2 linked regions of the Drosophila melanogaster genome follow. The protein of the gene in region 2 interacts with the protein of the main gene of each other region in a pairwise test. Each region holds a gene or a part of one and is shown on either strand. Other genes may lie near its edges. The genes, in order: vilya and narya.

Region 1 (12,059 bases), about 17 Mb from region 2:
GGCATGTCGGTGGCGGCCAACAAGCGACTACGAACGGAAAGCGGCTCCGAGAAGCGTTCGCCGGAGACAAAGAAACCCAAATCGAGTGCCAGCCCGCCGCTGGAGAAGAGTTTGGACGACGGGCCCTTGGAGGGCAATCTGATGAAGATGGAGAATAGCAGCGGTGATGAGCTGGGCGAGGAGATTCATGAGTTTCTGGGCGATATATTGGAGGCCATGCAGCATCCGCAAGCAGCCACTATTCCAGCTCTTTCGGCCACCACTGGTGATACCACAACTGTTGCTGTTGCGCTTGAAACATCGCACGATCCTGTACAACAGGCTTATCCGGCCAACGCGGATCTATCTAATGCCATGGCGACATCTGTTCTACAAACTTCCTGTGCTGCAGCTCCCGCTCCTTCGACTCCTGTAACCGGTTCTTTGGCGGCTCCATCCGTAGCCCGCTCCAAACGCAAAGAAGCTAAGGAGGCGGCGGCCGCGGCACAGGCTCGAAATTTTAAGCCACTGCTCAGCGACGATATACTGAAGAGAATCCGCAAGGGCTGGACGCAGGCGAATGCGGCGGATATAACCATCGGTGATCTGTATGTCGTTTTTGGCCAGGATTCCAAGCTGGAGCTGGAGTATTATTGGTGTGAGGTCGACAGTTCGACGGCCATGGCATCCAGCATACTAACAATCAACACGGTAACGCCTAGCTCCTCGTCGGTGGCCACCCAAACCGGCAGCGCCGCCTCGAACGCCAACCAAACAGGCGCATCTTCCAACTGCTACGTCAGCGCATCGAGCAATTCGAGCACCTCGAGCACTTCGCTGCCCTACAATCCCAACGACTGTGATAGCGTGGAACGCGTCAGGGCCGTCACCACATCGTCGGTGAGCAACAAGCTGAAGCACCTGCTACTCGTGGCCAATCTCAGCGAGCGCGTGCGCAAGCGCCAATGCAACTGCGGCCACACGTGCGATCGCAAGCGGGACCTGATGACCAAGGCGCAGCAGCTGGCAGAGGCGACGGCCACCGGCGGAGTGGGCGGCATGGTTGAGGGCAATTTCCGAACGCCGATGCTGCCAGTGCGGCGGCCGATATCCAACATCGATCCTGTGCGCCAACTCTCAGCGGTAAGTGGTCTTTCCTTATTGGCGTTACCCAAATCCCAATTGATTTGCATTCATTGCGTGCATTCTAGCTCACACGGCAAAAGATCAGTCGTCAGGTGCTTGTGCAGCGCCGTCTCCTACCACCCACATCCGCTGGCGATCGTCCGTACGATCTGCTGAGTGTGCGCCAACTCCACAGTGGCCTTTTCGAGCCGATTGATCGCGTGGATGGCATAAGTTCCGCTGGCATCAGCACCTCTGGCTCGAAACCCGATTCCAGCATGAATGCCACGACCGCTTCACAGGATCAAGAGCCAGGGGATCAGGGGGCATTGGAGTTCCTCAACGACGAGGCCACGCAGGTCAGCGCTCGAGACATGCCCAATCTGGACATTTGCGTGGCCACCAACAGGACGGACGTCAGCAGTTCCCTGAACGAGGCGGCCCAAGACGGGAGCACAAGTAGGAGCATCAGCATGTTTTCGCTTTTCATTTTTGTATAAATTTTATATTATCTTCTTCGCGGCAGCTCAAAGCTTCTTCCAAGGCAGCATGAGTCCGATGCACTTGCTCAGAGATTCAACATCCAACGCACGCTGGCTGGAGGACAATATCAATGACTTCTCGTTGACGTCGCTGCTGGGGCATTTGGATGAGATTGATGCCACCAGGGATATACTGGTAAGCCAGAACGCATGCCACACTCCCCACTTGCGACATTCATTGTGGACCGACCTCTAACCTAATCCACAGGATCCGTCGTCAAGCATGTCGGTGATCAGCGAGAGCAGCGTGGACTTTCGGCACAAGTTCCAGGAAATCGCCGCCCTGCTGCAGCAGCAGGAGAAAGATTAGCAGTGGCCACTGCGGCAATCCGGTCGTGTCCTCTTCGTTTGTGTACCCAAGTCCGGATCTTGAGATGAGAGTCGTCCAAGCTGGACGATGGAAAGGAAAGCCACGTGTGCCTCCAAGCCTCATGTCCCACTGATATTACTCATTACTCACTCATCCCACCCACCCACGTTATACCCACTAACATTTATGTTTTTACGCGACTTTTTGTGATCTATACTCATTTTATGTATGCCAAGTATTAGCAAGCACTCACATTGTCTGAACATATATATTTATTTATACATTAACTTTATGTATCGCGCGGCAGCGTAACGCGTAGCTCCCAATCCACACTTTTAATTCCCAGCCCCATTTTGTTTGTTACCCGCTCGCACACTCGTTCCGCACTACTCTAATTGGTTTCTAGCGCGTAAGTTCAATGCAGCATAGTAGCTTAGCTTAAGGTCCCCACACCCGCACCCGCACCCTCACCCTTAGCCACTATCAACTACAAAACCCAATCGAAACTTCCATATGTATAGAGATTCTCCCGCCTCCACCTGATAAACTAAAGCTCATTACATTAAATCAAATCGAAAGGATCGTCAGAAGACTCGAAATGTTTGTTGACCATATATAATATATATGTATGTATGAAACACGCATTATTTTGGGTGGGAAAACCAATCAAATTTATCCTAACAATAGGAACACACTTAAAACTTGTTATTGTGCGAAGGAAAGTACCGAAAATAAAAGCGAATTGAACTAAAACTAAATGTCCCGATTTGTACATTAAGCCGATAGTATAAGCGATCTAGCTTCAGGTCTCCACATTCTCGTCCTGCTCCTCCAGTTGGACACCCACTTCATGCTCGGCCCGCCTCCGCTGTCTGCCCGCCTTGTGCGACTGGCGATGGATGGCGAGTGAGATGCGGCGCTTGAAGGACTTGCCGCACTGCTCACAGCCGAACGGTCGCTCGCTGCTGTGGACGAGCATGTGGCGGTTGAGCTCGGATGTGCTGCCGAAGCTGCGCTTCTGGCACACCGGGCACGGGTGGGGCTTCTCCTGGCTGTGGCAGCGCTTGTGGGCAATCAGATTGCTCGAGTAGCGGAAGCGACGGCCGCAAATGTCGCAGCCGTGCGGCTTCTCGCCCGTGTGGGTGAGCATGTGCTTCTTGTAGCCCGACTTCTGTGTTAGCCTCTTGCCGCAGATGCTGCACTCGAATGGCTTGATTCCGCTGTGGATTAGAAGGTGTGTGCGCAGCGAGGACGCCTGCCGGTAGACCTTGAAGCAGGTGGGGCACCTGTTCGGATTGTTACGATCGTGCAGCGTGACATGGCCGTCGCGGGCGTTTCGCGTCTTAAAGGACTCTCCGCAGATTGTGCAAACGTAGGGCGTGGCCGTGCCATGTAGCTGCATATGGTACTTGAAGGAGTTGTTGGTGCTTAGTTGCTTGCCACAGATCTAAAGGAATGGAGGGAGAATTGATGACCTTCGGCTTTGAGTTATTTGCGAGCTGCGATGACCAACTTACTTTACACTGTAGGGAGGGATTGAGGGGTTTCCAAGGCCGGCTTCCACTGGGCAAAGTTTTCTGCGTCGCCGAAGTCTGTGCTGATTTCTCCACAATCTCGTAGACATCTTCGCCAGCTTTGGCCTGCAAAACGGGCTCCACTTGGAGGCACTCTTCAATGCAGTGGTCGTTGTCTTCTTGGCGAATTTTTGGCTGGCCATGTAGCCTCATGTGGTACTGAAAGGTCCGCTTCCTAGCCAGTTGTTTGCCGCAAATCTGCCGAAGATGGGAAACTATTTCGTGATTACTTACTTCTAATTCGGAAAGGCAACTCACGGGACATTGCAGCGCTGGCTCGGATCTTTCTAACCTGCTCCTACGTTGCTCCGGATCCGGATCGTCGACAATCTCGCAGAGATCGTCTTCGTGCTGTTCCAGTGCAATATCCAGCCTCTCCTCCTGTACAATTGGCGCTTCCAGCCGGCTCTCCGCCTCATCTGATTCTACGACCAGGAGTTGCTCCTCATCTCGTATCGTTTCTGCTGGATATTCAGTCACTTCCTGGTCATCGAGCACGAGTACAAAATCCTCCGGAATCTCGGTTGACAGCCTGGCCCTAGTATTCACCGCGCTGATCTTTTTGCTGCGGCAAAAGTCCGCATGACTCTGCCGCAGAATTCTGTCCATGCGATGGACACTCCGCTTGAATTCCAGCGAGAGCCGCAACTTGGCCACGCAGTCCGGGCAGATGTGGTGGGGCAGGAAGAGCTCCGCCTCTAGGATCTCCAGACCGCTGCAGTAGCTTAAAATGCTGGCCAGCGTCGCTGGTTTGCCGGAAATTGGATCGTCGAGCGGTTTGAAGAGCGGCAGGCAGCGCGGCGATGCTGTGTGGCACACGCGGCACAAGGCGTCCATGGGGGACGGCGGCGACATGGTCGTCATGGATTGAACTCGACAGTAGATAATACACGTTTAAATAAATAACTTAATTTAGCGTCCCGAACAGTGATGCCAAAGTCCAGCTGATGCGTTAGTGGTGGCACTCAAAATAGCTAGCCAGGCACATCAGCTTGGAAGTGACCAGAGGCACAGTGGCTTGGTGGTTGGTCAAAGGTTGTGTATTTCCATATTATTTAAAATATTTTAATTTAAAATTTTCTTAATACTGTGATTAGTCAGATTGCCGGAGGCAACATATGTACACACGCAGTTATCTGCAAAATCCCGCCAGATTTGGCTTGAAAATCGCCGATCTATACCTGCTGAGAGCCACGTGCTAAATGTACTAACGCCTGGTGCCGCCTGGCAGTGGACAGTATATAAAATCCCTAACGCCAACGCCGTGCCGGTGGGAAGTTGAAATTTTTGTTGGAATTTTTTATAAGTAAAAAGTCGCTGCCATCCGAGCAGGACTCGTGAACGGCTCTAGGACTCGATATCGGGAAGGAAGGGGGAAGCATGAGCATGAGCATGGCACCGGCCACCGTCCTCCAGTTGCTGCGCGGCCTTAGCACGCCGCGTCTTCTTACCCACATCCACCAGCACCGCGCATTGGGTAATCACTACCACCACTACCACCAACACTACCAGCACCAGCACCACCTCCTCCACCACCAGCAGCAGTACCTCCGACTATTCACTTGCACAGCACTGCCAGCGGCTGCTCCGGCGCTCTTCTCGATCCTGCACACAGCGCGTGGCTACAGCAGCACAACCAGTAAGTGATTCACGGTAGAGTCCTAAACAGTAGAGTCCTAAACATTCATCCTTGGCCACTTTCGTTTCGCAGAGCAGGAAGCTGGAGCCACTGGCCCCAATGATGCGCCCGAGGTCGCACCGAATGCCCCGCTGCTGGCCAAGCTCTTTCCTCAGACCTCGCCGGAGGTGGACAGCAACGCCGAGCAGGAGCGCAAGAAGCGCGAGGAGGAGGAGGAAAAGGAGAACGAGCGTGCCTGGAAGCGCATGAAGCTGGGGTAAGCTGACGCCCATTCAATGCGTAACAGTATTATAACAATACTTCCTGCTGCAGCTTTGCAATATTCGGAGGCAGCGCCGTGGCTGCTGGATTCTGGGCCGTCTACGAGTTCGGCAAGCCCGAGGTGGACCCCAACGGGCAGCCCATCGAGGACGAGTTCACACACAAGCCGCTGGTACAGCAGTATCTGCAGCGGATGTGGAAGAGCATTCACTACTATCAGCGCATGATCCAGGAGCCGTCGCGCGCCAAACTGCTGCCCGATCCGCTCAAGCCGCCGTACGTGCAGCCGCGCTACACGCTTGTGCTGGAGATGAAGGACGTGCTGGTGCATCCGGACTGGACTTACCAAACTGGCTGGCGCTTCAAGAAGCGTCCCGGCGTCGACCACTTTCTGGCCGAGTGCGCCAAGGACTTTGAAATTGTCGTCTTCACCGCCGAACAGGGCATGACCGTGTTCCCCATCCTGGATGCCCTCGATCCCAACGGCTACATTATGTACCGCCTGGTCAGGGATGCCACGCACTTTGTGGACGGCCATCATGTGAAGAACCTGGACAACCTTAATCGCGACCTCAAGAAGGCAAGTCATGCACAACGTATTTTCTATTGCAATCATCTATAAAGAAGGGAGTATTTTAGGTGATTGTTGTGGACTGGGATGCGAATGCCACCAAGATGCATCCGGACAACACATTCGGCTTGGCCCGCTGGCATGGCAACGACGATGATGGCCAACTGCTGGACCTTATCGCTTTCCTAAAGAGTAAGTTGCGCCACAAGTGACATTGAAAGCTAAACACTGACCCTTGCAATTCGCTACAGTAATTGCGCAGAACAACGTGGACGACGTGCGCGAGGTGCTCCACTACTATCGCCAGTTCGACGATCCCATCAACCAGTTCCGGGAGAACCAGCGCAAGCTGGCCGAACAAATGCTGGAGGCGGAACGCATCGAGCAGTCCAAGACCAAGCCAATGGTCAAACAGTGGTCGCGCAACATTCTCGGCCGCTAGGAGGCTGGCCATACCGCACAACCCGTTCCATACGCATACCTTAACCTTCCGCCTGCGCCGGAGCAACAAACACGCCCTGCAGCAGCACACTGGCCATATTTTTCGTCGACTTTTGGAGTAGTTAGTGGGAAGCAGTAGCAGACAGCAGACAGCAGGATTGGGAGGCACGCTCTGTCTTTTGCTCCTTTGGGAAAAGACGAGGCGCATGTTTTTGTTTTATTGAATAACTAAACTTGCTTGTTTTTGTTTTTTGGCAATTTAATCGTAATATTATTATTATAAAGAGACGACTTAACCGTAAAACCAAAAACAAGACATCCATGTGTTTCGTTACGAAAGTGGAGAACTTGCTGTGCGTTATCTAATCACAATTGATGGATAAGAGTGGCTAAACCTGCTGAGATAGTTATCGTGAAAACAAAATTATTTTTATGTATGTAAAAAATAAGTGTCGAATTTTCTTTCAGTTTTTTCTGGAACAAAAATCAGTTTTATTGAACTAAGTGTCTAATCCTTAGCCTAGGCTTACATTCTAGAGCCGCTCCCACGGCTTGGTGGCCGCTCACAGCACCATCACCACTTTGGAGGTGGACACCGGCTGCTCATGAACTTCGGTTATGTGAAGGTTGGTTGCCGATCCACCGGTCGCACCTCCACCGGTCGGACTTCCACCTGTCGCACCTCCGCCTGTCGCACCTTCTGCGCCCGCTTGTCGGCTGGGAGGATTGATGGACTGAACAGCAACGGTGGCCGTCACCGGCGACTCCTTGTTGTGGACGCGCATATGACTGGCCAGTCGCTTCTTTGTGGGAAAGGCCTTAACGCAGACCTCGCACTTAAACGGCTTTTCGCCGGAATGGAGGCGAACATGGGCATTGAGGTTGCTGGTAAAGGTGAAGGCATGCCCGCAAACATCACACTTGTGCGCCTTGACGCCACTGTGGACCATCATGTGCTTCTTGTAGCCCGACTTCTGAGACAGTCCCACGCCGCAGATCTCGCAGGTGAAAGCCTTCTTGCCGGTGTGGCTTATCTTGTGCTGGCGCAGCGAGGACGAATCGTAGTAGGCCTTGTCGCACAGATCGCAGGCGTATGGTCGCTCGCCCGTGTGCGTGAGCTTGTGGCGCCGCAGATGATCGAACGCCGCATATCCGCGGCCGCACTGATCGCAGTTGTAGGGTTTCTTCTCCGCATGAGTTCTCTTGTGCACTGCCAGACTGGAGGTGGTACGATAGAAGCGGCCGCATATGCTGCACTGGTGCGGCTTGACATTTGTGTGTGTCAGCATGTGTTCCTTGTAGTTGCGTAGGTGCTTCAGACGCTTGCCACACTCCTCGCACTCGTATTGCTTCTCGTCCACGTGGGAGCGCATGTGCTGGTTGAGACGGCACTGCTGGCGGAACGCCTTCTGGCACACGGTGCACACGTACGGCAGCGCCTCGCCAGCGGTCGGCGGCGCTGAGTCCAGCGACTCCTCCAGGAAGTCCTCATCTTCGCAGACATCCTCCGCCTCCGGCAGCTGTGTGTAGGTGAATGGAGGATAAATGGTATTCTAGTGCAATATAATTTGACCTTTCTCACCAGATGCTCCTCGCGCCCATCCCCCTCCAATTCGAGGGTCTCCTCGCCGATGACCTCGTCAATGGCTCCCTCGGCGGGTATCACAATCATCTGACAGTCCAGTATGGCGTCGTGGGCGCCGGAGTCGTTCATCACCTCGAACTCATCCTCCTCCGTGACGATCGTTTCGAACTCATTCTTAATGGTCACATACTCCACTTCGGCGGGCTGAAACTCATGCACGCTCTCCATAGTGATGTGTTCCTCCTGCTGGTCGCCCGACTGTGCCAGCTGGTGCTCCTCCTCCGACAGCTCGTCATCCTGATCCACCTCCTCGGTGAGAAACTCCTCCTCCTCATCCACGGTCATCGCGAAGATGCGACGATCCTCCTCTGCTAGTTCTTCATCCAACTGCGGATGAAGAAGGTGTTATGGTTTTACTTTGGAGTTAGACTTGATGAAGCCCATCTCCTATTTAGACGTAGTGTCACCAAGAGCAGACAAGTTATCCATTGTATGGAGGTACAGGTTGCACTCCTTTGGCACCGACCTACCCTACTACATCCCAAAGAGCCACAATATAAGTGAATCGATTTGAGTGACTGGTGCCCGCTGTGAGCAATCGTTAATCCTCTATGGGAGTGGACAAGAACCATTGCATTCCATTGCACCGTGAAGTGATAGATACTTACATTGGCGACGTTCTCCTGCTCCTCGTTGAGCATCTCGATCATGACGTACTCCTCGGTGGAGTCGAACGCCTGCTGTTGCTGGTCGTGCTGCTGGCTCTGGTTGGGGCTATGAGTCTGACTCTCGTGAAAGCTGGAGCAGCGCGCCTCGTCCAGGCCCAGGCGGAGCAGCTCGTCCGAATCGATGACCATGCGCTTGAAGTTGAACGCCTGTTCCAGCAGCTGCAGGCAGTGGAGGCAGATGTGCTGCGGCATGGCGGCGCCGTCTTGCGGCTCGAACGAGAGTCCCGTGCAGTAGTTTAGCATGCTGGCCAGCGTGGTGCTGCCCTCCGAACCCAGATCGATCTCCTCCTGCAGCGGCTTGTGCAGCTTGCAGGCACGCGTGCACGTCCGGCAGTTGAGCACCACTACCTCGGCGATCTTGCTATTCATCATGATGTCCTTATCCGCTTTCCCCTGTGGTTCTTGTCGGACAGCGCCGGATTTGCCGCTTTTATGACGTTTCGCTCTTCTACTTCTTGCAATTCAATTTTTATGCGTTTTTAGAGCAGATGCTTATGCGATATTATCGGTGCAGCAGTCATCGATGGATTTCGATTAATCGAATTCACTTTCAACACTTCTGTTATCCTAACGAAACTGTTAATTGAAACTTAACGGTCGCTGTTAACTTAGCAGTTTATTATTTTAAAGCTTATGACACCATTTTATTGTTTTAAGCTGATTATTTACAAAAAATATATACTCGGTTGTAAAACAGAGCTTTACCTATCAGCACTAGCTCACAGATCGAACGAGTTGTTCGGCGGGTGTATGAAGCTGGTGATTTGCTGCCGCTTTGCTGATTCCGTTGATCGGCGTCGACTGGAGGACTGTGTGGCTGTTCCACGGCCACGAGGACGTCCGCGCGCCGAGCGTTGGGCGGATGACGAGGATTGCGAAGTCAGCGAGCGGCTTCGGTAGGCCTGGGCCATCCTAAGGCGGGTAGAAATATAATGCATTAATGGGAACTATTTTCAATGGAATCCAAATGTCGCACCGATGCATTTCCGCCTTCCGATTGGCGACTTCCGCCTTAATGTAGCGCGACCTCTGCATCAGCTTCTTGCGCTCCACGCGCAGCATCTGCGCCTCCAGGAAGCGTTTCTGGCACACGGACTTGGCCACCTCGATGTCCTTGAACAGCTTATCCATCTCCAGTTCCTTCCTCTCCTTGTACTTGTCGAAGTGCCGATGATTGCCGCGCTGGAACGTCTCCACAAAGTCGTTGCCGATGGTGAAGGGCTCCGGATGGAAGAGCTGCTTGAAGTGGTTGGGCATCGAGTTGGTCAACTGGCGGCCGCGCACGCTCCGCCGACAGGTGGAGCATTCGAATATGGGCGCGTCGCTGGGCGTGCGGCCGGCGGAGACCTTGACGCACCGCTCGCAGAACACGTGATGGCAGGCGAGCAGGAAGAAGGTGTGCTTCTTATCGCAGAACAGGGCGCAGCAGCTGTTGCAGTGGATCCACAGCTTGGACGCCTCCGGCTCGACAGTCTGACCTGCTTGTGATTTCGCCATGGGCGCTCCGTTAAGCTTTTCGATCTTGTGCGCAACTAATTAATAACAGAATCAATAGATAGAGTTGGCAGCTCTGAATGAGACGAGCTAAGCTCCTGGACCTGCCAACTCCTGCTGCGCATAACGGTTAATGCAAGACCAAACATTTATTAAACGATAAAAAAAAAGAAGAATTTCACAATTAAAACACAGATTCGCAGGCAAAAGCTTAAAACCTACTGGCGACGCATGCGCTCGATGGGCTCCCTGGGCCGGATGCGGTAGCGCTTCGAGGAGCTGGACGGCGACAGCGGGCTACAGTACTGGCTGTCCAGCGTCTGAGTGCGCTTTCTCTTGAGGCACTGCTGGTCCTCCATGGAGGAGTCCCTTGCACTGGGGCGCACCAGGGATCCAGCGATGGAGGCGCAGCGACGGATGAGTGAGCCCGAACCAGCGTTCTCCTTATCCGAATCCCTGTCCCTGTCCCTGTCCTTTTCGCGTTCGCCGCGCAAGCTGGCCGGCAGTCGCATCATGGAACTCATCAGCGACCACAGGCGACCGGAGTTGGGCGCCTCCAGCTTTTTGTCGTTGCACGTGGAGGCGTTTGTGGGGCGGAACACCTCGTCCTCCTCTTCTGCGTCCACGACCTCCGGCTCGCCCACATCCTGCACGCCGCTATAGACCCTCTGCTGACGGCATTCCCGCAACGGAGGACGCACCCTGGGTTGCTGCAATGGCGGCGAGATCAGGGCCATCACCGCCAGCCCCTTCTCCTTCGGCTTATCCTTCTTGGGCGAAAACTCGCCGCTCAGCTGGCGCGGCACAATCGCCTGGCGATGACGACGCTCTGGAATTTCCGGCGTTCCCGGTTCCGGCGTGAAAAACTGGTCCTTGGTTTCATCGCCCTCGCCATTCGATCGCATCTGTTGGCTGCTCTTGGGCGGCGTCTCGAACTTGATCTGCTTCTTGTTGATGCCGGCACCGGTGACACGGATGGGCGTTATGGCCGGCACGTGGCACACTTCCGCTGATTCCGAGGTGGAGCGTATGATCTCGACGCTCTCGCATGAGTTGTACACCGTGGAAGAGGTCTTCTGTGAGCTGGAGTTCGTCCGCGTGATGATGATCGACTCGGTGGTGAGTTTCTGTGCGGACAGCAAGAACTGCCGCTTGCATAGATCGGCATTCCGCGAGGTGCTGTAGCTGGAGCTGCTGCCGCTGTTGACCTCCGAGGCGCTGGACTCGCTCTGGGTGCGCCGCATAGCTGGCGAGAGTCGCAGGTCCAGAGCGGACGAGCCTGCTGCCTCGTGCGAACTGTGCTCGCTGAGATCGAGGCGCACGCGACGTTGCACCACTGCGGATGGTGGCTGGTGGACCATCATGCCGCCGTGCTCGACGAAGGCCTTCTGAATGCTCTTGGACATGACCTGGCGCAGCGGCGTTGCGGCGCTCATCTTGTTGCGGGCGCCCATTTTCCAGGCGCGCTGCTGCAACGGCTGCTGCTGCTGCTGCTGCTGCTGGACGGGATTGCTTTCGGGTGTCGGACTGGGCTCCTCGTGGTAGATGCTGGACACGTGGCCGCCAGTGGAAGCATTGAAGGTAATCGGCTCCTTGGGCTTGGCGAACACGGACTCCACGTGCAGTGGTGTGGACGTCGAGCGTATGACCTTGCCCTTCTCCATCGTTTCGGACGGATTCACGCCCAGTTGGCCAATGGAGCGACGAATGGAGCTGTTGCTGAACGACGACAGGTTGCGTATGGAGGAGACGCTGTCGCTGATGAACTCCTCGTGGGTGACACGGCTCTTGGCCTTCCAGCGCATGTTGA
Region 2 (17,116 bases):
TGGCGCTGAGCGCCATTTCGCTGGAACAGAACCGCCTCTCACATCTGCACAAGGAGACATTCAAGGATCTGCAGAAGCTGATGCATCTATCGCTGCAGGGTAACGCATGGAACTGCAGCTGCGAGCTGCAGGACTTTCGCGACTTTGCGATCAGCAAACGGCTCTACACACCGCCCACCGATTGCCAGGAGCCGCCACAGCTGCGCGGCAAGCTGTGGAGCGAGGTGCCATCGGAGAACTTCGCCTGCCGGCCGCGCATTTTGGGTTCCGTGCGCTCCTTCATCGAGGCCAATCACGACAATATCTCGCTACCCTGCCGCATTGTCGGCAGTCCGCGTCCCAATGTCACCTGGGTGTACAACAAGCGGCCATTGCAGCAGTACGACCCGCGTGTGCGTGTCCTCACCTCCGTGGAACAGATGCCGGAGCAGCCCTCCCAGGTGCTCACCTCGGAGCTGCGCATCGTGGGCGTACGGGCCTCCGACAAGGGTGCCTACACCTGTGTGGCGGATAACCGGGGCGGACGGGCGGAGGCCGAGTTCCAGCTGCTCGTGAGCGGTGACTATGCCGGCGCGGTATCCGCCTCCGATGGCATGGGCATGGGCGCCATTGGGGCACCAACCATTGATCCGCAAACGAACATGTTTCTCATCATCTGTCTAATCATTACGACGCTGCTGCTCCTGCTGCTCGTGGCGGTGCTGACGCTCTTCTGGTACTGCCGTCGCATCAAGACCTATCAAAAGGACACCACCATGATGAGCGGCGACGGGCTGATCTCTTCCAAGATGGACAAGACGCACAACGGCTCCATGCTCGAGGGTTCCGTCATCATGGAGATGCAGAAGAGCCTGCTCAACGAGGTCAATCCAGTCGAGAAGCCGCCACGGCGCACGGACATCGAGAGCGTGGATGGTGGCGATGACGTGCTCGAGATCAAGAAGACGCTGCTCGACGACACCGTCTATGGTGAGTAGTCGCAGAGGTGCCAAGGATGTTATATATACTGTATAAACTGGCATAATTGGGTGGAAAAACGCAGGCTGTTTTTTTTTTTTTTTCTAACGCAGTGCGATTTCGAAAGATAAAATAGAATGAGAGGCTATTTTTTTTTAATTATGGCTAACTAAACAAACTCTATTTTAATATTGAAATGCATTTGCACATTCAAATGCTATATATTTACTAATATATTTAAGCGCGAAAATGTGAAGGATTTAAGTTTTTATTGCCAGACAAAATGTTAACCACACACATGCCAGGTCATGATTGCATGTTTTATTTCGTCATTAATGTTTATTATTTGTAAAAACAGCGCATTTAAGTGGCCAGCCACTAAATTCAAAGTGTGGGTCCATTTCCAACTATTTTTTTTTTTTCCACACCTAATGCATTCGCTTCTCGCCAGGTGTTTCAATCAGCAATTGTGATTATGTCCTGGCTTTTGTGCGATAAAAATCATATTATTGCCATTATGTCGTTGAGCAGAAAAACAGGCAAATTGCCGTGTAATGTTAATAAATAACATGACAAAGTTAAAAACAAACAAAAAATGAGCAACGGAGTGGAGTATCTCATGCTCCTTGAAGGGATTAGTTGACAATCATAGCGAATTGATTAGTAATTCTGCGATTTAATAACAAGCTAGATGGCTTATCATCGCCACGTCATCATCATGGCTGAGCATCGTTGAGCAGCAAATGATGCGAAAGTCTCCTGTCAACATGGAGTGTTGTCCATCTATCTCTATTTAGCCAGAGTTTCCATCTGGTTGGCACTCCAGGACGTTTGTCGACGGAATGACCACCATGCCAAATGCTGCTGGCAATGCAAACACACTTGTATTTTCGCGCAAAAGGCAAAACACCGAAATTTCATTTGCCCTGGGTTCCCAAATGGTTATCCTGGCCCCGTTCTCCTGGGGCTCGGGCAGGCCCATCGTTTGTTTGTTGAAATTTTCCAATTTGCTCATCAACTATTAGGGCGAGCAGGAAACGCAGAAAAACCAACAATGTTTGGCAAACAAACACACCCAGCAGCGCACCTACATACCATACATACATACATACATACATACATGGCAATATTAAGCGAGGCTGTCAAACTAAATTGGAATCGTAAATCACGCGGATTCGTGATGAATCTATTAGCTAATCTCGCAGTTCATTCGATCGTCATTCGCGCTACCCATCAGTCATCATACAATATAAATGTGATGACTTGAAACTGATTCGAAGTCTTTATGATGAGATAAGTAGCTAGAAATACTTGGCTTAGTATTATACGTTAAGTAGGCCAAAGGACTATAGTTTCCCCACGATTCCCTTTAGCAGCTTGCATATATTAAAGTAATAATCTGAATACATTTAGTACATAAATAGTATGGTCTATATTATATATTTAAAAGAATATTGAAAGAAACTGTTGAAATGTGGATTGCACCGACAGTGGGAAAGACAATTGAACGCAATTGATGAACTGAACCGAACTGGACATGGACATGGGCAGGGGCAGGGGCAGGGGCAGGACTGGAATGAGCTGAACTGGGGTGAACAGCACTCGTGTGTCACTTATGCCCAAAGTTTCTCGTCCGGATTGGCCAAACGAGCAGTGACATGTGCCAAGTGTGCTCATGTGCTCCGCTTCCACGGGCGAGGGGATTACCCAAGAATCATTATTTTTCAAAAGAAATGGCTATCAAAACTATTTGCAACGGACGCGGATGCCGGATTAAAAGCCACAGAGGGCTTTGGTGCGGCACATAACTACTGAAAATCCCTCGAATACGTCAAAGCGTAGTAGAAAAATCAAACAGAATTAATCCCGCCTTTTCTGTTCACGCAACACAGCTCCTGGGATTATGTATATTCGATCGAAATGTAATTGCATAGTGAAATGTGCCTTATTCAACAGGAGCTCCATAGAGGAGTGGGATTAAGTTGGTGACCAATAGAAGTCGAGTAGGACTTAATACAGATCTTAACTCTCGTTAATGGAATAGTCAGCCATGCAGACATTTAGTAATATGCTCCAACATCTTCTTCTCCATTCCAGTGGCCAATCACTCGCGCGACGAAGAAGCCGTCTCAGTGGCCATGTCGGATACGACGACCACGCCCCGATCTCGACACACCTACGTGGATGATGCGTATGCCAATAGCTTGCCACCGGATCTGCTGGCCTTTCCCGCTCGCGTGCCGCCCACCTCGCCCTCGATGCAATCGTCGCAGTCGAACATACCCGACCAGGTGATCTACGGCATCCGTTCGCCACCGTCGCTAACCAGTCCGGTCTACACGCATATGACGCCGCACGGCATCTACGGCACCAAGACGATGACGGCTCCGCATAACGGCTTTATGACGCTGCAGCATCCCAAGTCGCGCAACCTGGCGCTCATTGCCACCACCAACAGCAGTCGCCAGCACCAGCACCACCATCAGCTGCAGCAGCAGCAGCAGCACCACCACCACCACCAGCAGCAACAACAACAGCAGCAGCAGCAGCAACATCCGCTGGCCACCACATCGCCCTTCCTGCCCGCACCCGTCGTCTATTCGCCGGCCACGGGTGTGGTCATGAAACAGGGATATATGACCATTCCGCGCAAGCCGCGCGCTCCCAGCTGGGCGCCCAGTACTTCCGGTGCCGCTGGCCACGGATCCATTCAGCTAAGTGAATTCCAGAGCCCCACATCGCCGAATCCCAGCGAGACTGGCACCGCCACCACCGCGGAACTGCAGGCGGAGCCAGTGTACGACAACTTGGGATTGCGAACCACTGCCGGCGGCAACTCCACCCTCAATCTGACCAAGATCGCCGGCTCACAGGGGGGCGCTGGTCAGCAGTACTCGATGCGGGACCGACCACTTCCGGCCACGCCCAGCCTGACATCGGTGTCCTCGGCGACCAATGCCAGTAAGATTTACGAGCCCATACACGAGCTGATTCAGCAGCAACAGCAGTTGCAACAACAACAACAGCAGCAGCAGCAGCGACTGGGCTCCATGGACACGGAACCCCTGTACGGAGTTCGGCAACAGGGGATCACGATACTGCCCGGCTCGAGCATTAGCGGTGCCGGACTGGGCCACGCCGCCTACCTTTCACCCGGCTCGGGTGCCGCCGTATCGCCAAGCCACGCCAGCAGCAGCGGTGACTCTCCGAAGGCCGCCAAGATCCCACCACGCCCACCACCGAAGCCCAAGAAGAAGATGTCCGTGACGACGACGCGCAGCGGCCAGGGCAGCACCAGCCAGCTCTTCGACGACGAGGGCGAGGATGGCACCGAGGTCTAGTTTGGCACCCACGGCGATCTCCGCCATCGCCGGCAGCTGGCGATGTGATGCAATGTAGCGATGCAATGCATGCGATGGAATGGAATGGAATAGAATATGATGGGATGGGATGCATTGTGATGTCGTTGCCGACAGCGAGCAGCAGCAGATGCGGATCCAGTTGGATGATGAGGAATGGGGAATCCATGGCGGGCTGAAGCTGATGCTGATAACTTTATTGCGCGTATGGGATGTGGGATGCAGCCCCCCAGTCGACAACAGAATACAACATCAACATCAACATCAACATGAACGTCAACACATCCCCTGTTGCGGCTTGTAAAAATAGCCGGCGGAAGGATTCTGTTCCGTGGTTCACGCCACTGCGTGACTTGTGTGCCAAACGACTGATGTAGGTTTTAGTAATTAAATCGATGAACATGCAACACACCAGTTCTTCTTCTGGTCTGGAAAATGCGACGGGAAATATGTAATCTTCGGCGAGTTGGATGAAAAAAGAAAAAAAAAAAAAAAACAAATAGACAGACATACAAATCCGTATAGGGCGATAAAGTCGCTTTTAGGAGCATCAAATCCCAAATTCGTATAGGCGGATATACGTAAAACCCAATTTTAAAACCACCTTTTTTTGTGTAGACTATAGCTAGTTCGGTACAAAATGCATTATTCGTATATAGAGAGACATATATATATATATATATACACCAACGCATACATACACACACACACAGAATTTTAAACTTATATGAACCCTAGAAGAACAAGTATCCTATTATGAACAAGTATACATAAAGAACTTTCAAATCAACGACAGTTTATTCAAGCGCAATGAAGAGGAATAAAACACTCACTTTTTTTCCAAATTTTTTAAAATTGTACATGTAAAGGCATACAGTTAATCGCATTAGGCTACATACATATATAGTACATAGATACATATATATAAATATATATATATATATGCATATATATATATATTAATGATATATACTTATATTAGCGTAAGCAACCACTTGCATCCTTAATTTTTTTTTTTTAGTTTACGAAAGCCACCACGCGATTCGGGAATTAAACTACATGAAAGTATATTTATAGCGGGTAAGTTTGTTAAGTGCGTTTAGCGGTAGGATAAAGAGTTTGCATTTCGCAATTAAAACAATGAATTGAAACTTCTATGTATACATATAGTCTAGAGGAGGACGCGCAGCTATAATTACGATTGTACTAGTTATAAAGATATATTAAATAAATTGTATGTACATGGACTCACGTATGACATTCTAGGACTAAATATACACCCAATCTCCCATTACCGCTGAGAAGAAACGAAGATTTATAGGCAAAAAAACAAAAAAAACACTCCCTCAAATTACCCTCAGCCGACTCGTTTATTAGCCAAACTAAGCATCCAAATCAGCAGCAATCATTCGCAATACATCAGTACGAATATACCCACAAAGTGTCGTTGAGTCCAATGGGTAACATTGAATGCCAGCTACTAGCTAGCTACTAGTTGAGTCCAGTCCAGACCATTCTTTGCCATGCTGTACGATATTTCCCCCAATCACTCTGCATTTTCTTATCATTATTTATAACAATTTTACACTATATACAATTAGTTTCCTGCAGCGCACTGGCGATCTCCATGCAGATGCGTTTTTATTTAATAAAAATGCACTCTCAGGCTCTGCCAAACTAATTTATTTTTGAGCTTGTGGGGAAGGGAGGAGCAGGTGGAAATAGAGAACGACACTCTAAATAAAAATTAAAAAAGGGCAGGCCTGAAAAAGATCCGAGAGTTAAGAGCCAGTGCTTTCAATAGGTATACATATATATATATATATATATAGAGACGTGTAAAGTACAGCCCCAACCTTGCCCCTAGAAAATCGTTACTTGATGCGGATTTACTAGGCGAATCAACGAAACTACGAGTGTAAACATCCGACCCATACTTGGTTTTAAATAAGCAAAAGTATTACGTAAATCATAAGTTACCTTACATTTTTTATCGTGCTCGTTTTTTATTTTTTTTTTTGTGTGTATTTACAAAGTAATTATTTGTAGAGTTTGCTTTCGAATTTGGACAAACGCAACATGATTGTAATAAATATCTCAGAAATTCAAAGCTCTTATATGCAGGCATTTTGAAAAACCAGAAACAGAAACAAATATAAATACAGCAAAAAAAAAAAAAAAATATTGTAACGTTGCGAACAATTTGTTCAAATTAGCTCAAAATCAAAACAATTATAATTATAAATTGTAATCTAACTGTAATTGATAGAAGGGTTCTTATATATACGTTTTTTTTTATAATTTTGCATAATTTGCCTAACATATAAAATATTAAAATAAACTATGAATAAAAGGAATCCAACCAACCAGGTGTTTGTTATTTACTCGAACTGGGACTTCCTTTTTAGCCACAACAACCAAACAACTATTTTCTGCAGTGTACAAATGTCGACAGCTGTTCGCCTAATCGAAGCACTTCGATTCATGATAGAAAATTTAAAAAGTTAATGCCCGCCAGGGTGCTGTCGCCCTTTTTTTTTCAATATTACGCAACATAAAACTTATATTGAAATCAACTTTTAAACAAGCCAGTGTCTGTGTGTGCGAGTTTGTGTGTTTTTTTTTACGATGATGTTTTTATTATTTGATCAACGCACTGTTACCCATGCGGCAACTTAATTTGATCTGCTTAAATTATTTTATTTTACAATGTGTCTTGGTTACTTAAGACTAACAGATTTTTAATCCTAAAAATGTTAGGGAGAATTATAATAGTTGATATAACATAGTAATTATTATTTATTTGATTATTCTAATGAATTTTAAAACTAAGACTTTCTAGGTCAAAACCAGGTTAGGGAGGTCATGAGGGTGGTGTCGCTTGAGTCTTCTTTTGGCTCTAGTCCGAGGGTCAGCATTGACCACAGCTGCAGTTCCTAGCTTCCTTGCTAGGCTGTTGGGGTGTACATTAAGCCTTTCCATATATTTTTGGGCGATGTTCTGGAGCTTGTCTCCTAATTTGGGCACCTTGAGGTCGCGTTCGATGTCTCTTGTTCTCATATACCAAGGAGCCCCCGAAATTCTTCTTAAGGTCTTCGCCTGTAAGATCCGGATCTTAGTGCGAGTTTGTGTGTAAAAGGACAGCATGCTGCACACGCCCGAAAGCATGCAACACTTTTTTGTAAGACATCACAAAATGTTGCCGAAAAGTTTTTTATTCTTCCATTTACTTGTATCGGCAAAGAGCATGCTGTTTTTCAGCTGAAATGTGCAGCACGAATGTATATAATTGACCAGCATTAACGGGAATGTCGCTGTAGCCATGTTACACGGAAAATCTAGGTCTCCGGAACAAGCAAGTATCCTTCGCCAAGTGAACGAGGACTTCTGGGACACCACGCCAACTAGAGCATTGTCTACTGTTTTCCGAGGCATTTAATGGATATTTATTTGAAAATCACAACGCATTTCAAAGCATTTGATTGCTTGCGTTGTCCCACTTAAGTAGGCAATGCATTATGTAACGAATCAGCCGAGGGTATCCCATAAAACATAACTAGATATTTATTGAAAAAGAAACAAAAAAAAACGCAACACATTTTAGTAGATTTTCGCATTGGATTGTTTGTGCTTAGTGCTTGGCCCATTTACATACGTACACAATACAATTTGTAACATGTTAGCAATGGGTATCCCGCAGTCGGGACACACGCCGTCCATCCTACTTTTTTTCTTGCGAAAAAGCGGACAAGCAAGCTGAGCACAAAACTCGACAGTAGCAACAATGTAGTTGCAAAGAAGTAGACAGTCGGGCGAGGCAGAAGGAGCTGCTGCCCTGCCGAGGAAGCGCACAACTATATCTGAAAATTGGACAGCTTGACAGGCAAAGACCTTTTCATAAACAAGCGTAGCTTCTGTGTCCCGAGATTAGGACAACACAGCACGGTCGAAAGGAGCGCCGCATTAAGGTGCAGATCCAATACAAATCTCTAAATCCCTTTTTGTCATCATCCTAAGCTAAAAACTATTTTGTAAGCTACAAAATTGTGCGAGATAAAAACTAAATCCTTGTGAGGAATTCACCCAGCTCTGTTGTCAGTGGCAAATTGAAAGCTGGACACTTGACAATTTTACATATTGCAATATTCAGTTAAAATAAGCAGCGCAGCTTGAGCAACGACGACCTATTGTGTAGCTGGCTAACTAACAGGCATACGTAGTTATCAAATCCCATATTTCGTATCCGATAATTTATTCTATAAATTCATTCTTTCAACAATTTGATTAAAATGGAAATTTCCCGGCGGCTTCAATGCCAATTGAACGGGGCATAATTGATTTTAATTAAAAATTCCATTGTTTTGGCCCAAAAACGAAATATTTTTGGTGGGAAATCCGAATACAGATTTCCGCCCAACATTTTTCAGTGCGTTTTTTTTTTTTCATTGTAACATGGCTGAAGGGTCCCTCAATTAAAGAAAGCAAATGTTTTTCATAACATTTTTGTTGATTTCCAAAGGGGACAGGCCAAAAGTTAATTTGTTTAGCAATTTTTCAATATGTTAAATTAAATATGTTTTTTTTTTTATAATTAAATACGTTTATTCAGACGATTACTTGTTATTTCGACACTGCTTTTTGTGGCGCAGAATGTCGATCGTTGTCAGTCGCAACTCCCTCTTGCAGGAGTTGCAGTAATAGCCGCCGGAGGAGTGCGAACTGGAGCTACTGGCTACCTCCGTTGAGGACTCTGTGCTCGTTGTTTTCGCCGTGCGGCTTTCCTGCGCCTTGCGACGCTTGCATTTGGATCGGTGCACCAGCTGCTCCAGCACATCGAACTCCTCCAGCTCGAAATCGCAGCGCGTACACTGCCATGGCTCTGCCCGTAGAGTCGCATCCATGGCCGTCGTCCACTGCTGTTCGGCCAAGCAGCTGTACACCACGTGCTCCGATACGTTGAGGCCGCCCTTTTCCTCGTTCGGTGTCATGGGAAAGTCGACGGCAAAGGGGTTCTCCTTGAGCTCCGCGAGTCGCGCGGAAGGTGCCTGATGAGTGTAGAGCCTCTTGATGTCGGCGGGAAGCAGTCGGCGTATCGCATACGCCACATCCAGCGCCATATAGTCCACAAGATCTTGCCACAGCGCGCTGCTCCTATCGTCACTTGAATGGGAAGGTGATTCCTGTTTGCTTTTGAGGTCTGCAAATTGGACAGCATTAAGTACATACGTATTAGATAACTAAGCTCCATTTACTAAGAATGCCAAGAACAACAAGCATTTTCTATAACTGAACAGTTCAAATATCGACAATTGTATATGTAAATACCTAAAAAAAAAAACGTTTTTAAGCATATGTCGTTCCCATCATTTGATTGTTACAATAATAACTGCTTTAAAATATTATGGTGAAAAATCTTTGAACCTGAATACACCACTTGCAGGAAAGGTGTGGTGAACAGATTGCAAGGCGAGAGTGTTCTCACCCGGCAGAGTGGCCAGACCGCTGAGGTAAGATCCGTTAGCCCCATTCGGATATCTAAATCACAATTGTTTAAGAAGAAAACTTGCAAGGCGAGGAAAAAAACATATATTGGTCACTATGTTTCGAGTGCATTGCAACAAGTGTTTCCGTCATCGCAAAACTGATCCAGCCGTGCCCTTCCACTTGACCCAGTGCCGGCACGTGATCTGCGGCCCCTGTTTGGGCCAATCCTCGCTAGAAAAGAACTGCCCGCTATGCGGCCAGGTGCTCAAAGCGATCCAGATCAACCGGGATATGCCAACTAGCGTGGCCAACTACTTCGCGGATCCCCTGCGATTCCAGCAGATCTACCGCAAGATCTCCAAGTTCCAAGCGGACCAGCGAGCATCGGACAACCTGGGTTTCTACCGTCAGTTGCAGCAGCTGGAGCAAAACAAGCGCCAGCTGGAGGGCTTTTGCAAGATGGAGGCGCAGCTGAACCAGAAGGTCGTGGAGGAAAAGAAGCGAATCGCTGAATTGCGCACCTACATCGCTTACCACGAGAATGCGCAGAGGATGACGAGGCGCCGGCACAGTGCAGGTGAGAGATTCCATACGCCGGAGTTCAAGGAGGCCTGGAACACCTCTATCAGCACTTCGGACAAATCGCCGTCGGATATGCCTTCTGATAGCTCCCGCCGGTCCGCGGACTTGGATACCCAGTCAACGCGGAGAAGATCTTTTGGCAGCGACACTAAAGGCTTTCGTCTTTAGTCACTCCAATTACTTGTATAATTTTTTATAGGAATTCTAAGACTATAACCACTTCTAACGATTCAATTAGGTTTTGACCTTCCAGAAGATTCCCAATATAAAGAACCAGATAGATTATTAAGTTGCGCTTAAGGTACTAATTATCATCCGTATTCTATTACTATTACTATTCAAATCGAGACGTTCCACTACTCATGTGCGGGATATGATAACCATAAACGGAAATATAACAATCTACTTTAGCTTACAAAACTCAAAAATCCCCCTAGTAGTTTTAATAATTCCAACCAATCTGGGGAGCACTCACCATCCAGCTTGTCGTAAAGCAGTCTGCTCCAACGTCGGCGCAACTCGATGGCCCGTCTTAAAAGCTCCATACCGCTGCCGGGCATGGGCAGATCCAGTCCCAGCCAGCCGTCGCAGGCGATCTGTGTGATGCCCGCGTTCGTGTCAATGGCGAAGCTGAAGAGCAATAGCGTCTGGGCAGCCGGCAGGCGGATGCAGTTAATCAGATAGGGCTTGGCGGTCTCCAGCAGCGACCTGTTGTAGTACGTAGTTTTTTGGGGATTAGTATGGCGCTGCAATTTCGTACAGACGCACGCACTCACTGGTAACAGAGCAACTGGTGGCGCTTGCTGAGCGGAAGCTTGGGCGTGTAGAAGTCTGGCTTGGGCAGCAGATCGCTTTCGGTCAGCTTAAGCAGCTCGAAGTGCTTGGCGAATTGCGAGTTTGGGTGCTGCAGCACGAAGGGCTTGAGCCGCGTGTGGAAGAACTGCTGACCACCACCCTTGCAGTAGTTGAACTCGTCGCTGATGGCCAGCTGTGGATAGAAACCGCTGCCGAGCAGCAGCTTTAGCAGCACAACGACGCTGTGTCGGTCGAGCCGCGACGAACGCTCCAGCAGCGCCAACTGTCGAGGATCGAACCGCAGCCGGAAGTCCACGTCCCTCATATCGTCGCCCTGCGCCTCCTCCTGCTCCTCCTCGTCCTCCGCTACCCGTCCAGCGCTCTGCTTGAGCAACTTGCGCTGACGGGGTTGCTCAAATCGCTGGCGGCGCTTCATGGCTTTCAGCTGGCGCAGCTCACCATGTCGCGTTGCGCGCTCGGCACTGGTCAACTGGGAGTCCGAATCGCTGGCCACCACCATGCCGCAGCTCTCGAGGATGCGCTGGAACTGTTGACGCAGCTTGGTCACCTCATAGAAGCGCTGCTCCTCGATGCCCAAGCGACGGCACCACTGTCGAGTGCCATCGCGCCGCATCTTCAGCTGCACCCACACGTTGTAGAGTCGCACCAGGGTGAAGAGGTCGCCATGATCGGACTCCAGAGACTCCCGCTCGCGCACGCAGCGCTGGTCTGTGTGGGCACGATTCGTCAGCGGGTTCTGCACGCTCAGCATGGCGGCCAGGGTCAGCAGCTGCTCCACCTCGGGAAACACGCTGCCCATAAGCAGCATCTTGCCGATGGACAGCTCTACGGGCAAGTTGGCCAGCGATCTGCCCAGCGGTGTGATCTTTTCCTCCACGCTGAGGGCGCACTGCAATTAGAGATTAGAAGTCCGGTTGAATTGGGGTCTACACAGTTGGGTATCGGTGAAATGCTCACGTGTTGCTTTAGCGCCAGAATAGTCTGCTCGATGCGCTCCGTTTCCGGGGCCTCTATGAATGGAAAGGCCCGGACGTCGGGCAATCCCATGGACACCATCTGCAGCAGCATCGTGTCGAGCGGCACGCGGTAAATTTCCGGAGTGGGATATGCCTCGAAGGCGTTGTATTGCTCCGCAGTGTAGAGCCGAAAACAGACCTGCGCTCGGAAAGTGGGAATGTATGAGAAATGGAGCAACCGTGGGTTAGGTTCTAGCTTACACCTGGTCCCGTGCGACCAGCACGACCCTTGCGCTGATCCGCAGACGACTTGGACACCCAGAACTCTTTCAGACGCTGGCCCTTGCAGGTTGCGTCGAAGTTCATCTCCTTGACCTTGCCAGAGTCGACCACGAACCGCACGCCGTCCACGGTGAGCGACGTTTCGGCTATGTTGGTGGACACAATGCACTTGCGCATGCCCTCGGGTGCGTAGTCAAACACCTTGCTCTGGTCCGCGATCGCCTGGCCACTGTGCAGCGGCAGGACGAGCCAATGAGTCTGTTCGGTGGCATACTCGTGAACGGCCTCCACAACAGATTCGATTTCGTTTACGCCGCTAACGAAGATAAGGACGTCACCGCGCTCGCTGGCTAGGTAAGATGATTATTAGGCGATCCCTACAAGAACATGATAACTAAACTCACTCGGATACTGCTGGTCAATAAGGCTAAGCACCTGGACAAATGGAGCTGGATCGATGCGGTTTCTCTGAGAGCGTTTGGATGTCGCCTGTCCCGCCTTTAGTTCCAGTGCAGGAGGCGGCAGATAGCGCAGTTTGATGGGAAATAAACGTCCCGGCACCTGGACCAGCCGTGCGCCCTCCTCGCCGAAGTAGCCGTGGAAGAGCTCCACGTTGATGGTGGCAGACATGAGTATCAGCTTCAGTTGCGGCCGCGCCCTCAGTAAGCACTTGGTAACACCCAGTAGAAAGTCACCGAATAAGTTGCGCTCGTGGATTTCGTCCAAAATCAGGGCATCGTACTGGTCTAGGTTGGCGGCCACCGCTAGTTGCCGCAGCAACAAGCCCTCCGTAATGAAAAGGATGTTGGTGAGCTTCGTCCGACTGCGCTCGAATCGGATCTGGAATGCCACCCGACTGCCGTAGTCGTCCAGCAGCTCGTGCGCAACGCGCTTGCACAGGGAGACGCAGGCCAAACGGCGCGGCTGGGTGCAAGCTAGGGCAACAAAAGGTCGATCATTGGTAAGGCAGCCTCAATGGGAAGCCGCATACTCACCAATGCTGCGGTAGCCAAAGTCATAGAGATACTGGGGCACCTGTGTGGACTTGCCGCAGCCAGTGTCACCGGCCACGATGACCACGCGGGACGTGTCCAGTGCCTCGCGCAAGTCCTTCCGGAAGCGAGCAATGGGTAGATTGCGTTGTGTCTGCCGCAGCTTTCGGATACGCTGGAACTTTTCCGTCTGGCGGAAGTCTAAGTACACCAGCAAGATATGACGAAACTGGGACTGCATTTGGTCGCGCGCCTCCTGAAGCAGTTCGTCAGCGTCCAGCCGCAATGCCAAGTGCTTGCTGCGGTGATACGGCTGCATGCTGCTCAGCTCCGCCTCCGCGAGTCGAGGCGGCAGCACGGGCTGGCCCGTGGAGCGCATCATAGCCTCGTACTTGCCCACGAACTTCCAGAAGTCAGCCTCGTTCTCCACCAGACTCCTGCCTACCTGGCGGCTCTTGGCCTGCAGCAGGCCCACGAGCTCCGCCTTGTGATCCAAGAAACTGAACTCGATCAGATTGATCTGAGTCCTGCGGCGGCTGGAGGCATGTTCATCTGCCTTCTTCTTTATCCGAGACATTTTCACCGAAGCAAAATAGTTCCTAAAATTTGTATTTACTTCTTCCCACAGCAAACGATAACACTGCTACCGATAAACGGTCAGCTGTGCAAGAACCCAAGCCGATAACACAATTCTGGAATGTGGATGACTACTAACAAGGTTTATTTCCCTAGATTGCTAACAGAAGATGCTACCACATGGCGCGCTGGACGCCGGACAGCTTATTGTAGTCGGCGAGGTGGCGCCACACGATTCGACTGAGCCTGTACTTGTGGACAACTCCGCGCGGACGTGACGTAAGCGCGCAGCGTTCCCTCACCCGGACGAGCGATGAGTCCCGAGGAAAAGCAGCGATCTCGGCGTCGGCTACCTCGCGTAGCTCCGGCGGCAGGATGTCGTTCTTGCGCAGCGAGTTGACTCGCAGCCGCTCCACGGCGTTCTCCTTGACGCACTTGCGCCGCTTTACGTCGCGAATCATCTTCCAATCGGCATACTTTGTGCGCACCTGCTGCAGCTGTTAAGACAATGGGCTGGATATTATGTTCGCTTAGCTAGGAGTACGATGTTAACTTACCCCGCAGCCGGCTATTTGCACGGACTGGCACACAAAACCCCCGATCCTGGCCAGAGAATTCATGTTGTTGCTTTCGGTGGTGCTCTTCTTCTTTTTGCCTCTTTACTTTGTTCGCTATAGTGTCGGTTATTAACGCGCGGGACTATCGATAGGCAACAGCTGATGAGCCCATACAGTGAATTGCAAATTTATTGCCTATTATTTTCGTATACGAGAACTGGGTAATTTAAATGAAAAATACGATGGCGAAGCATGCGGTGTGGAATCTATAAGGTTAAAACATGGAAAGCCGGCTGACTTTCGACCTCTCGGAATAAGTTTTAATTAACAATTCACTCGCTTTACATAACCGCCTAGCAGCGCGATTCAAAACGAGCGCGTTCACACCCATTCGCAGTGGCGTACAATTGCTGTTACCATTCGCCGCGAAGCGCGTGAACACGTGTGCCAGTGTGCGTGCGCCAGTGCGTGCATGTGCACAGTCGAGCTTGCCAGTGTGGGTGTGTGTGGTCGTCTCACGTCGATTTAGAAATTTGCTCGTGCCCGCAGTTTGCCGTTCGCCGTTTTCGCCTTGTGTGTGTGGTGTGTCTACTCCGTATAGACTGCCAATCGAGTCCAGCTCCGCTTCCGAGCAGCAGCAGAAGAGGCATCGCAACTCAGCTCAGCTCGCTGATCCACAGATCCCGCAGTCCGGTGCAATTCACGGCCAGGCGAAAACCCAGTCCCAGTCAGCAGCTGAGGAAGAACAAGAACGACCAAGCAGAAGAAGCAGCAGGCCGAAGAGAGGAGCAGCCGCAGCCTTGCAGAGATGCCTTCTAGCGATCCCCTGCCGCCCAAGGAGGGCGCGCTCTTCCGCAAGCTACTTGTAAGCCGGTCTAGGTGACCCTACTGTCCCATACCTTCCCCTTCCCTTAATACCACAACTGTGCCGCCCCCTCCCTTTGTTCGTGCCTTTGGCCGGCTTCGGCATCCATGTGCTTTTTAGCCGAAGTCAGGTGGAGAGTGCCTATTTTTGGCAGAAGCAATCCGGAGGCGATGCCTCCGCTGCTCGAGATGTGTGGCTTCAGCGGGCGATTGCACAGCTCTGCTCAACCGCCGACGTTTGTGGTCGGCCCGCTGGTCTCATAACCTCAAAATTCGCGCTGCGCGGGATGCGAGAAACTTTGACTAAAACCTTTCTTCTCTGTGCTTTCTTATCAAACAGAAATGCTACGAACTGAAGCAGTACAAAAATGGCCTTAAACTGGCCAAGCAGATCCTGTCCAACCCCAAGTACATGGAGCACGGCGAGACGCTGGCCATGAAGGGGCTTACTCTGAACGGACTGGGGCGCCGCGAGGAGGCCTACAAGTATGTGCGTCTGGGTCTGCGAAACGACCTGCGCTCCCACGTTTGCTGGCACGTCTACGGACTGCTCCAGCGCAGCGACAAGAAGTACGATGAGGCCATCAAGTGCTACCGCAACGCGCTCAAGTGGGAGAAGGATAACCTGCAGATCCTGAAGGACCTGTCGCTTCTCCAGATCCAAATGCGCGACCTCGAGGGCTACAAGGAGACGCGCCACCACCTGTTCACGCTGCGTCCCTCGCAGCACGCCTCCTGGATCGGTTTCGCCATGAGCTACCATCTGCTGGGTGACTACGACATGGCCAACAGCATCCTGGAGACGTTCAGCCAGTCGCAAACGTCGATTGTATGTATCCAGCTGCCTGCCGATTCAATTTTATATTCCAATTCAATAAAATGCTCGTATTTCTTGTTCCATGTCTCTGCTCCGTGGGCAGGAGGCGCACGATTATCGGCACTCGGAGCTGCTGCTCTACCAGAACCAGATACTCATCGAGTCGAATCGTCTGCAGCAGGCCGTGGACCACCTGACCAAATACCAGGGCCAGATCGTCGACAAGCTGGCCGTTCGCGAGACCATGGGTGATCTGTACATCAAGCTGCAGCAGCAGGAGAAGGCAGTGCCCATCTTTGAGTCTCTGATCCGCCGCAATCCGGAGAATGTGCTCTACTACGAGCAGTACATTGCCGCCCGCCAGGTGACCGACTCAAGCGCCGTGGTGTCGATCTATCGCGTGTTCCAGGAGCAGTATCCGCGCGCCCTGTGCCCTCGCCGCCTGCCTTTGAACATCGCCAACGGCGACGAGTTTCGCGTCGTGACCGACGAGTACCTGCGCCGCGGTCTGCGTAAGGGCATTCCGCCGCTATTTGTCAACGTGCGCACTCTGCACCAGATACCGGAGAGGGCGGCCGTTATCGAGGAGCTGGCGCTGCAGTATTTCGAGAACCTTACCCGTTCCGGCCACTTTTCTCGCGAAGATGCCGACGCCGGAATTCCCGTCGAGCCGGCCTCGGCGCTGGTGTGGACGGCACTGTTTCTGGCGCAGCACTACGACTACATGCGCGATACGGACCGCGCTCTGGAGTACATCAATGTGGCTATCGACCATACGCCAACACTCATTGAGCTGCTTATCACCAAGGGTCGCATCTTTAAGCATGCTGGCGATCCCGTGGAGGCGTACGTCTGGCTGGAGGAGGCCCAAAGC

Evidence for each region.
Region 1: the proteins of narya (region 2) and vilya interact in a two-hybrid assay, tested with the Drosophila melanogaster proteins (2 studies listed by BioGRID).

What each region holds. Positions count from the first base shown.
Region 1 is NC_004354.4:2,724,900-2,736,958, reverse strand, and holds vilya (vilya), read right to left. Parts: upstream 10,282-12,059; 5' UTR 10,253-10,281; coding exon 9,732-10,252; intron 9,668-9,731; coding exon 9,475-9,667; 3' UTR 9,391-9,474; downstream 1-9,390. Other genes in the region: crm (cramped), read left to right, coding at 1-1,122, 1,191-1,563, 1,631-1,782, 1,855-1,956; CG2712 (uncharacterized protein), read right to left, coding at 2,759-3,403, 3,474-3,728, 3,789-4,394; ttm50 (tiny tim 50), read left to right, coding at 4,911-5,169, 5,242-5,425, 5,482-6,010, 6,070-6,193, 6,253-6,443; dwg (deformed wings), read right to left, coding at 7,006-7,962, 8,025-8,414, 8,696-9,127; fs(1)Ya (female sterile (1) young arrest), read right to left, coding at 10,468-12,059. UniProt on the Drosophila melanogaster protein: Required for the formation of DNA double-strand breaks during meiosis together with narya and nenya.
Region 2 is NC_004354.4:19,465,253-19,482,368, forward strand, and holds narya (narya), read left to right. Parts: upstream 1-9,810; 5' UTR 9,811-9,914; coding exon 9,915-10,550; 3' UTR 10,551-10,803; downstream 10,804-17,116. Other genes in the region: kek5 (kekkon 5), read left to right, coding at 1-969, 3,055-4,298; CG32533 (uncharacterized protein), read right to left, coding at 8,930-9,513, 10,858-11,090, 11,159-12,087, 12,156-12,353, 12,416-12,786, 12,841-13,371, 13,432-14,005; mRpS14 (mitochondrial ribosomal protein S14), read right to left, coding at 14,178-14,501, 14,562-14,624; Naa15-16 (N(alpha)-acetyltransferase 15/16), read left to right, coding at 15,370-15,426, 15,766-16,254, 16,346-17,116. UniProt on the Drosophila melanogaster protein: Required for the formation of DNA double-strand breaks (DSBs) together with nenya and vilya during the meiotic recombination process. Plays a role in DSBs processing into crossovers.